Linked DNA regions of Callithrix jacchus. The protein of the gene in region 1 purifies or fractionates together with the protein of each later gene. This does not show direct contact. Links are inferred from orthologs where the notes say so. Each region holds a gene or a part of one and is shown on either strand. Other genes may lie near its edges.

What was found.
Region 2: the proteins of TNS2 (region 1) and UTRN purify together in Homo sapiens (affinity purification with mass spectrometry; 4 studies listed by BioGRID and IntAct, with this or other methods). This does not show direct contact. The link is inferred for Callithrix jacchus from reciprocal best matches to the Homo sapiens genes TNS2 and UTRN.

The regions. Positions count from the first base shown.
Region 1 is NC_133510.1:66,517,820-66,523,379, forward strand, and holds the start of TNS2 (tensin-2), read right to left. Parts: upstream 3,817-5,560; 5' UTR 3,643-3,816; coding exon 3,568-3,642; intron 1,155-3,567; exon of another isoform or gene 1,058-1,154; coding exon of another isoform or gene 983-1,057; intron 1-982. UniProt on the Homo sapiens protein: Tyrosine-protein phosphatase which regulates cell motility, proliferation and muscle-response to insulin. Phosphatase activity is mediated by binding to phosphatidylinositol-3,4,5-triphosphate (PtdIns(3,4,5)P3) via the SH2 domain.
Region 2 is NC_133505.1:151,249,491-151,254,482, reverse strand, and holds part of UTRN (utrophin), read right to left. Parts: coding exon 4,900-4,992; intron 2,229-4,899; coding exon 2,094-2,228; intron 63-2,093; coding exon 1-62.

The sequences.
Region 1 (5,560 bases):
GGCTTCTCTCACCTGCTGCCTCCAGAGGGGCTGAAAGTCCCCTCACCTGGAACAGGTCCCCAGGCATCCTCAGACCTTCACTGGTCTCACACTCCCCACCCAAACCCAGCAAGGAGGTGCAGAAGCAGTGAGTGCGGTGAGGGGTGGGGTGGTCCAGCTCCACTGTGCCTGTGAGTCCTCCCATCCTGTGGCACACGCACCTCGGAAGGGAGGCAGGGATGGCGTCCCTATGAGCCAGTCCGCAGGGAAGAAGTAGCTCACTCTGGGAGGGTTGGGAAGGCATCACCAGACCCTCTTAGACCTCCTCCCGCCTGGAACATTTCAGAGCCTGTCAACCTCTCCCCCAGGCGGGCCCCCTCTTTCTCCGAAGTCGTGGGTTTGTTTGGAGAAACCCCTCCACCCACACCCCTCTTCCTGGAAATAGCTGTGGTTGGAAGGGAGGCTGGGCCTCATCCCTCCTCTGGCTGCCGCGGAGGAGGGGTGAGGCCCGGGAAGGAGCGAGGGAGGGCGGTGGCTCTGGGGGTGCGCCCACAGGGGTCTGGAGGATGGCGGCCGCAGAACGGGGCTGGCGAGTCGAATTAGCCTCCTCTGTGCCCGCTTACGGCCTCAGTGTCCCACATGTGAAGTAGGAAAGGAAAATGCTCGCCCGCACCCAGCCAGGCCGGGGCCCGAGCGCCGCTGCCAGCTACTGCCGGGTCCCGGGCCTGTGTGTGTGGCTCGGCGTGCGGCCCCGTGCGCCCGGGGCGCTGGCAGGCGTGGCGGCACGACCGAGTAGGTCCGAGGCGGCGCCCCGCCCCCTGATCACTGCCCCGACCTCCCGCCGCTCCCAGCTTGCCGCGGCCTGCCAGAGCCCCCAGCCCCAGCCCTGAATCGCGCCCCGCGCCCCCTCGACCTCCGGCGCCCCCTGGCGCCCGCCCCTCGCACTGCCAGCGCGGCCGTGACGCAGAGGCCGCCGTCCGCCCAGCGCGGCGCGGCCACTCACCTGCGGGGGGCGCCCGGCGGGGCGGGGGCGCGGCGGGGCGGGGCAGCAGCAGGGGGAGCCCCCGGGCCAGCCCATCCCGTCCGGGCCCGCGCGGAGCAGATGCGAAGGAGGCAGCGGCGGGAGCCGGCGGCCGCGCTCGGCTGCGCTCCCTACCGCCCCCACCGCGCCCCGCGCCCGCCGCCGCCGCCCGCTCCTCCTCCTCCTCCTCCTCCTCCTCCTCCTCCCCCCTCCCGGCTCCAATCCCCACGTTCCGCCGGCTCCCCGCCCCTCGGCTTCCTTTTCTCCCCACCTTCTCCCGCGAACCCTCACTCACAAAGAGCCGAGGGGAGAGAGGGTGCACAGACTGCCAGCGGGGCAGCGCCGGGGACACACTGGAGACAGGAGGAGGCTAAGAGAGGGGGAGAGAATTGGAGAGAAACGGCCGCGGAGGACACGGGGACGGGAAAGTCTCAGAGACGGGGAGAGCCTGACCCGGCGGGACACAGGCAAAAAGAAACACGCGAGCCAGACAGACGCACAAGAAACGGTGTGCATAGGTCCAGAAGGGACTAGGAAACAGGGGACAGGGGACTGCCAGCCTCTCACCCTCCCCACAGGAGTGTGTCTGGGCTTGGGCCTGACCTGAGAGGACCACCCGCGGCCTGGCCTGGTGGTGCTAGCGTCCCCTACCCAGGCGGGCACGTGAATCAGGTGAAGCCACCTGGTGTTACTTTTGGCTTAAGTCGCTGGACACCCTTCCCTCTTCCCAAAGGATTCACAGCTGAGGACCTCTCCATCAGGCTCAAGCCCCCATCTCCACCTGCAAGCAGCTTCAGCCATCCCATCCACTGCCCTGCTTTATTCATTCATTGAGACAAGAGTCTCTCTCTGTCTCCCAGGCCGGAGTGCAGTGACGTGCGATCTCCGCTCACTGCCTCCAAGGCTCAAGCGATCCTCCCACCTCAGTCTCCCTAGTAGTTGGGACTACAAACGGGCGCCATCATGCACAACTAGTTTTTGTAGAGCCGGGGTTTCGCCATGCCCAGGCTGGTCTCCAACTCTTGAACTCAAGCAATTACCCCGCCTTGGCCTCCCAAAGTGCTGGGATTACAGACGTGAGCCACCGTGCCCAGCCCTTGCCCTGTTTTGAAAGAGCTGGACCATCATTTTTACTCCATAGACCTCTGAGAAGGTCTTCCTTACATTTAACTTGAATCCAGTCTTTCCAAGTGGATATGGAAGTTCTTTCTGTGGTCTAACCTCATTCCCTGCTTTTGCAGTGCCTGGTACTTGATAGGAACTTCATGTAATGGAGTGAATGGGCTCTAGGGCAGGTTTGAGTGGTGCCACCCTGGAAGGGAAGGTAGGGACAGAGTAGGGGACATCTTCCTAGAAGCTCTGAACCTATTGCCATTCCTGCATTCTCCTACATCCTTTAGCAGTGAGCACTTCCTGAAACTTTCTCCCTCCTTCACCCTCCCCGCTGGATTTTCCATGATGAAAAGGGGCGGGGGAAAGGATGTTGGGATTCTGAGAACCTAGTGCCCAGGGCTCAATGCCCAGTGCCTGCTCAAAGCAGCCAGTACCACTGGCTCTAAGACCTCCTTTCCCTCCTTGTCTCATCTCAACTGGGTCCTTTCTGTGCTCATCTTGTCTTTGGCAAAGGCTGGGAAGTCTGGTTCTCATTTCCGGGGGGTGGGGCACCTGACAGGGAAGAAGAGTCTGTGAAACAGTGCATGATGACAGTATGTGTCCCCCGATATCCAGAGATTGGCATTTGGGCGGGTGGATATGGTTGGGACTGGGGAGCGTTGATCTTACTGATCTTGGTTGAGTTGGTGTCCAGTAGGCAGTTTCAGAGGTTAGGGCAGTGGGAGTCACTGGGGACTGGGGACAGGAGAGGTGGGGGTGGGGGAATACCGAGGAGAGTGGCAGGGATTGGAGGCTCCCGGAGAAAGGGCAGGGCTGGAGGTTGTCCTATGTATTTTGGCAAGATATGTAATTGAGATACGTAAGATAATGAAATGTGTTCATGTCTTTGGAGCTGTCAACCAGCTCTTTTAACATCTTGCTCTTCCCAGCATTCCTTAGGCTCTTTGGCTGGGTGGGCCCTGGGATGGGTGCCGTGGGGTACCTTTACCTAAGCTCTAAAGTTACCAGTAGAGAGACTGGGACTCAGAGGAATTTGATGGGACCCCAGAGAGGTGAGGGGTAAGGGCTAGAACCTCACACTCATGCTGGTTTTGCTGCCTTCCTGGGAGGAACTTTTGAGGTTCCAAGGAACTGGAAAAGGGTCACAAGATGGGTGGCTGAACTCCCAGCTCAGGCTGGATTCCTACTCCCAGCATGGGGATACAGGGGAAGGGGACTGCAGGAAGGAGGCTGATGAGAAAGGCTGAGAATGAGAAGTTATGCAGGAGGTAGCTCTGTGGGCGTGAAACAAAAATGAGTGGTTCGCAGAACCAGCCACGCATCCTGATTTCCAGCTCACAGCAGCAGGAGCTTCAGGGAGGAAGAAGAAGGGATGGAGGAAGCCAGGTTGGTGTTAATAAAGGTCAAACAATTTCAGGAACACCCCTGACCTCCCTCCACACAGGTTTTCTTACCTTGACTATGCAGAGGGTGGTCCATCTTGGCATTGAAGGTGGAACCCCCTCTTCCACGGTCTGGGGTGACCCCATGCCTGCAACCAAGTGTGCTCAGATCCTTGGGGTGCAGGGGATTATATAGGGCGTGGATTTAAAGGTGTGGGGCTGTCCTGGCTGGAGACCACTGGGTCAGGAGAACTCTAGTAGAGGGTTTGGGTGCTGGGAACCAGGAAGAGCAGGGGAAGGGGCAGAGCCAACTCCAGAGGCGGATCTCCTGGCTGAGGACAGAGGCTTTATTGTCCAAGCTGGAGGTTGCTGCAGCTGGGCGGGGAGCAGCAGAGCTCCGTCTCTTCCAAATTTCTTTTGGGGGAGGGTAAGGGAAGGCAAGCCGCCCCCCCTTCGCTTGTGGCCCTTGGGGCTACCATGGTTGCTGAGAAACGAGGCTTATTTGACAAATAATGCTTCCCAGGAGCAGATGTGTAGCTCTCTCACTTCCTGAGAAACCAGATGCTGTGAGCTTGCTTAGCACTTGAGGTGACGCCCTCAGCACAAACTGGGACCCTCAGTGCCTTGGGATCCAGCGTATAGTGCTTGATTCTGTTTAGAAGAAACTAGGCTAATGTGGACTCAGATACAAACGGGACCTAACCAGCCTAAAGTTGGGCCTTGTGAAGTAGGATACTGCATCTGCACTTTCCTACTTGTCCAGTAGTTCAGGATTTACAAGATTGGCAATGAGTCCTGAGTCCATTTCTGCAGCTGCGCTTCTGGGTGGATCCATACTTTTTTTTTTTTCTTTTTTGACAGAGTCCTACTCTGTTGCCCAGGCTGGAGTGCAGTGGTGCGATAACAGCTCACTGCAGCCTTGACCTTCTAGGTTCAAGCGATCCTTCCTCCCAAGAGGCTGGGACTATAACACCGTGCCTGGCTAATTTTTCTATTTTTTGTAGAGACAGGGTTTCACCGTATTGCCTTGACTGGTCTCAAACGACCCTCCTGCCTCATCCTCCCGAAGTGCCGGGATTACAGACATGAGCAACCATGCACACGGGACACACATTTTTTTTTTGAGATGGAGTCTCGCTCTGTCACCTAGGCCGGAGTGCAGTGATCTCGGCTCACTGCAACCTCTGCCTCCAGGGTTCAAGCGATTCTTCAGCCTCAGCCTCCCAAGTAACTGGGTCTCTAGGTGCGCACCACCACACCTGGCTAATTTTTCTATGTTGTACACACTGAGTTTCACCATATTGGCCAGGCTGGTCTTGAACTCCTGACCTCATAATCTGCCTGCTTCAGCCTCCTAAAGTGCTGGGATTACAGGTGTGAGCCACTGTGCCTGGCCATACTCATCTTTTTAAATGAGGATGTGGTCATATTAGAGGCCAGGTTTTCTCTGATTTTAAAGTACCTTTTGGGACACAGGGCCTTCCTCTACCCTTTCTGTACACAACCATCATAAATCTCTTTCAACAAGTCTTTCCTATTTTTATGTTCCTTCTTTCCCATCATTTACCTAGACCTCAGTACTGCACAGCTAAGAAACGAAGACTTGGAGAATGTGAGTGAAACTGATTCCTGTGGAGATGCAGTGAACAAGCATTACCTTGTAGGTTCCCCAGGCACCCTGGGCAACAGGGGCATCTAAAGCCACATTGAAAAGCCTTTACATTATCACAGCTCACTGAGTCTCATATCCCTCAACTTTGCCAATTTTGGAGAACAGAGATAAATTCACTGGCCAGAAAATAGAAAAGCAGCTGCTCCAATTGGCTGGGAAATGCCATTTGTGTTAACTCCTTCCTCCTCTTGGCTCTTAAATCCCCAAATTGTTGACTGAGGTTTCCCAGCCTCCTTTCTAAGTTCCACCTCCTTGTGACCTTAGTAGGGATTCTCTCACTGTCCTAACCCCTTTCCTGCCTTGCAACAATGACCAGTCTGTCCCTAGCTGTTTGGAAAATTCCCACTGAATCTAAAGTATGACTAAGAGAAAGTGGCCTCTGTTCTGGTAACC
Region 2 (4,992 bases), on another chromosome or scaffold:
TGGCCAAGCTCTCGAATCTGGGTGCGATTATCTGCCGGGTGGCGCAGAACAGATTCCAGAGACTGGACCAAAAATGGGGAAAAAAATAGTGCATTTACTAAGGCCAAAGGTATCAAGGATCCCCAAAATGTCTAATTCTTAAACAACTAATTCCATTTTCTAAAAATCTACCTAAGGAATAGGACCAAAAATTAAGTAAATTACTAATTCACAAAAATATTCATCATGGTATTAAAAAATGCATAAAATTGAGAGATTTGCACAAGTGATATATGATGATATAATTCCACAAAAATAATTTCAATTATTTTTAATTATGGGAGGGTAAGGCAGGAATATCATTTGAGCCCAGAAGTTCAAGGCTGCAGTGAGCTCTGATCATACCACTGCACTCCAGCCTGGGCAACAGGGTGAAACTATGTCTCTGAACAATACATAAATGAATGAATAACAAAACATGAAAATAACTATTAATTATATGGGGAAATGCTCATGATATGACACAGTTTAAAGGCAGAGAACAATGCTATACAAGCAAAATTATCTCAACTTTTATTAATTATATTACTGAAAATAAGTATTCATTTTCCTACAATATATGCCAAATAAGAGGCACTATTTTATATATACACTTTTTATATACATAAATCTAATTAACCACATCAGCTAAATCACATTCCCAGTTTACAGATGGGAAAACTGAAGCTCAGAAATGTTAAATAAGTTGGCAACATACACAAAGTCAAAAGAAGAGCTGAGATTCCAACATGGCTCTAAAGCCTTTAAGACCGTGAAGGCTGGCCAAGCACAATGGCTCACACCTACAATCCTAGCACTTTGGGAAGCCAAGGCAGGTGGATCACCTGACGTCAGGAGTTCTAGACCAGCCTGGCCGACCGGGTTAAAAAAAAAAAAACCCATCTCTACTAAAAATACAAAATTAGCTAGGGTGGTGGCACACGCCTGTGATCTCAGCTACTCAGGAGGCTGACGCATGAGAATTGCTTAAACTCAGGAGGCGAGGTTCCAGTGAGCCGAGATCATGCCACTGCACTTTAGCCTGGGCAACATAGCGAGATTCCATCTCAAATAAAAAATAAATAAATAAAGAAGTAAAGAAAAGACCTCAAAGCCTTTGATACAGTGTATCACTTTCTAGCACTCATACATAAAAGATAATAATTAGGAAGAAATCTACAAACTGTTTAAAAATGTTTCTCTTAAGAGTTTGCTTTATACTTTATTTTCCATATTTCTAGAATGTACATGTATTCACTGTCATATTAGGAAAAAAATTAAGCTTTTCACAGTTTTCATTCACTCTGTCTCTCACTCTGCTATATTTGAGAAGTGGCATCTTTTCTCTAGCACAGCATCCAGCTCCTAGGACGTCAGTGCCACATTTCACTCCTTTCTGACCTTCAATCCAGTTGTCCACTCATTTCCCACATGGTACAGCATATCTACCCTCTTCCCTTCTGTGTGTGTGTTAAGCAAACCTACCCTCTTTGCATTGTATTTCATTTAAGAAACGCTTATTAAGTTAACATGTGCTACACACTGTGCTGGGAACTGAGGAATAACAAAGTATCAGGTACATTCTCGGCCTCAAGGAGTTGAAAGTCCAGGCTTGATGACAAGCTCCTATGACAAGACCCCATGACTCAACCAATGTCTTTCAACTTCTAACATCTGAAGGTAATAGGAAGCCCCTGTAAACAGTCATGGCTGTGCTTCGTGAGTAAAAACAACCTGTTGACGAAACAAGAGAAGAGCTACTCTAGTAACCTTGGCAGAGCTCTGTCCAGGGCCTAGCAATATAAACTGGAAAACCACTAGAGTGCTTCAACATGTGGAAAATGTGCCAACTGTCAAACACCTAACCGCATCATGAGGCTGACGTAGTGGGTCACCAGTAATTTAAATACACATGAAGGCATAAACACTTCAGGCTCTGGAAGAAAAATGCAAGTGACACTGAATATGACTGAAGAAGCAAATGCATTTGCCCGCATAAACATCACGTTCCCCATTTTAATACAAATGTGGCCGCATCACAACAGAGAAAAGCCATGGAGAGCAAAGGCTCCAACCTCTAGGGCTTCGTTGACAGCGTCCATCTTCTCAGGCAGGACCTCTGTGTTCTTCATCCGCTCTTCCAAAGTGTTTAACCAGGTGGTTTCAAGATCCAGATAGTGAAGCAGCTCAATCCAACAAGACCAGACCTCCTAAAGCGTGAAAAGTTTAAATCAGATGAAAAGCCATTTCACACATGATATCTCTAGTGCTACGCATTCTCTTTAATCACCAATAATGTCATTTGGATGTAGGAATTCAGAAACTGTTGGAGTTGAAACTTCAAATAAAAAAATAAAATAAAATAATCCAAAAAATCATGTCAGACCAATTGGGGAGAGGTGGGGAGCAAAGAGGAGTGGGCAAGAGGCTGCCTCACCCTTCACCTTAAGATAAATTCCACGATCTCATTTAAATGTCAAAAATACAACTATATAATTAGTAGCCTCATCCTTTACCTTAAAATAAATTCCATGATCTCATTTAAATGTCAAAAATACAACTATATAATTAGTAGGAAAAACAGGAGAGAAACATTATTTAGTTTGTTTTTTTGGAGGCCAGGTGCAGTGGCTCTACAACTGTAGTCCCAGCATTTTGGGAGGCTGAAGCGGGCAGATCACCTGAGGTCAGGAGTTTGAGACCAGTCTGGTCAACATGGTGAAATCCCATCTCTACTAAAAATACAAAAATTAGCCAGGGTGGTGGCAGGCGGCTGTAATCCCAGCTACTTAGGAGGCTGAGGAAGGAGAATCAGTTGAACCCAGGAGATGAAGGTTGCAGTGAGTCTAGACCACGCCACTGCCCTCCAGCCTGGGCAACAAGAGTGAAACTCCATTGAAAAACAAAAAATTTTGTTTTTTGAACAGAAGGAAAAAATTGCTCCAGATAGTAAAATTTTTAAAAAAATAATTTCATAGAAAATTGAAATCCCCTGGGCCCCACCCAGTTCCCACTCAGAGCTAACTGATGTAAAAGTTTGCAGGGTAGCCTTCCCAATATTTTTCTAAATTCATGAAGACCTGTCTATATAAGAAGAGAGCCACATTTTATCAAAACTGGAGTTACACTATTCTTGCTATGTTGGTTTTGATCACTCATTCCCCTCTAAGGTTTCCAGAGCAGGTACCCGGGGGTTGTGTAGGGAATAGATACATTTATAAATTCATAATCCCTTATTACAAGAGGAAGTTATTTGAGTGGCAAGTTTAGGAGAAAGAACTTCACTGGATGCCTCCGGGGCTCGTTCGCTTTTGGATGTACTGAATGAGTGAAGGCTTCTGCTGGTCCACACTCCATATGAAGTATGCTTACCAGATCAGGAAGCAGTACGTTTTTCTACAAAGGGCTAGATAGTAAATATTTTAGGTTTTGGGGGATACACTTGGTTCCCATCACAGATTCTTCTTGGAGGTGGGGTGTGTGTTGTACAACCCTTGAGAAATATATAAACCATTCTTAATTAACCAGGTATCCAAAAACAAACTACAACTTAGATTTAAACCCCTCAGCCAGTCCAGGTGCAGTGGCTCATGCCTATAATCCCAGCACTTTGGTAAGCCAAGGCAGAAAGATGGCTTGAGCCCAAGAGTTCAAGACCAGCCTGGGCAACATAGTGAGACCCCTATCTCGACACAAAAAAATAAATAAAAATAATTATCTGGTGTGGCATTGCAAGCCTGTAGTCATAGCTAACTCAGGAAGCAGGGGCAGGAGAGTCACTTGAGCCCAGGAGTCTGAGGTTTCAGTGAGCTGTGATCACACCACTGCACCCCAGCACAGGTGACAGAGCAAAACCCTGTCTTAAAACAAAACAAAATGAAAAAAAAATCCCTCAGCCATAATTTGCCAATCCCTGAGTTAAAATAAAAGAAAAAATAATTTCTAGTCCCCCATTTCTACAAGAAAAAGAAAATCTGCTCAGATGCAAGCATGACCTCTTTTCTTATGGGAAAGAGAAGACGACTTAAAGAAGACCACTCCCAAGAAGCAGGCTGACCCAGAATCAAGTATCTTTCTTACTAACTAGCCTCAATGATACATACTTATCTTAGCACAAAATTAGTTTAGAACAAGCACTGAATGAATTCGTTCATAAATGAATGAATGATCAGTATTTAGGTTAAATATTACAGTTGCCATTTTTTACCATTACAGGATTTACCACAATACAATAATTTGTTTTATGTAGAATTGAATGTAAATTAAATTGTAAATTGAAAGGCCTCTTAAATCTTCCAACAAGCAATAACAAAAGTCATACTACTATAAAAACAAACAAGCAAAAACTTGATCTTAGTTTTTAAAAATTTCACAGAATCATCTACATTTTACATATAATGGCCAGGGAGGGGGAAAAAGGTATTTCATCTAAGGCCCAGTAAAATAGTAGCATATATAAGTTCTATTTTTCCTTCAGATGACTCCTGTACTTTAGACAGCACTCAAAAGAAAATAATTCCTCCCTGTATACTCAACCAGGCAAAACGAAAGAGATGTTTGCAATGTGCTCTGCAATTTTTGGACTGGAACCGGCCCCACAGATCATCTGTTACATGAAAACCTTGATTGCACATGCAAAAAAAAGTCAAGTCTGAAGATACAAAATGACTTGCCCAAGACCCTTTTGATAATTAGGGACAGATTTTGTTCTCCTGTTTTCAACCCCTCTTTCATTTTTATCAACCTATTCCCCCAGATCTATTTTTCCTTTATGATCCAGAATTTGAAATAAAAAAGTTTTCTCCAAGATTTGAAAATGGCCAGAACATTACGGAGTTTGGATCTCAGAAATACATCACAGAAAGAAAAAAAGTAACATACCTCTAGAGTGTGACACTTTCCTCGAATTCTATTACAAAGAAGTTGGTAATTCTCCAGCACGACATTCAGCTCAGACGTCAACTCCTGGCCACC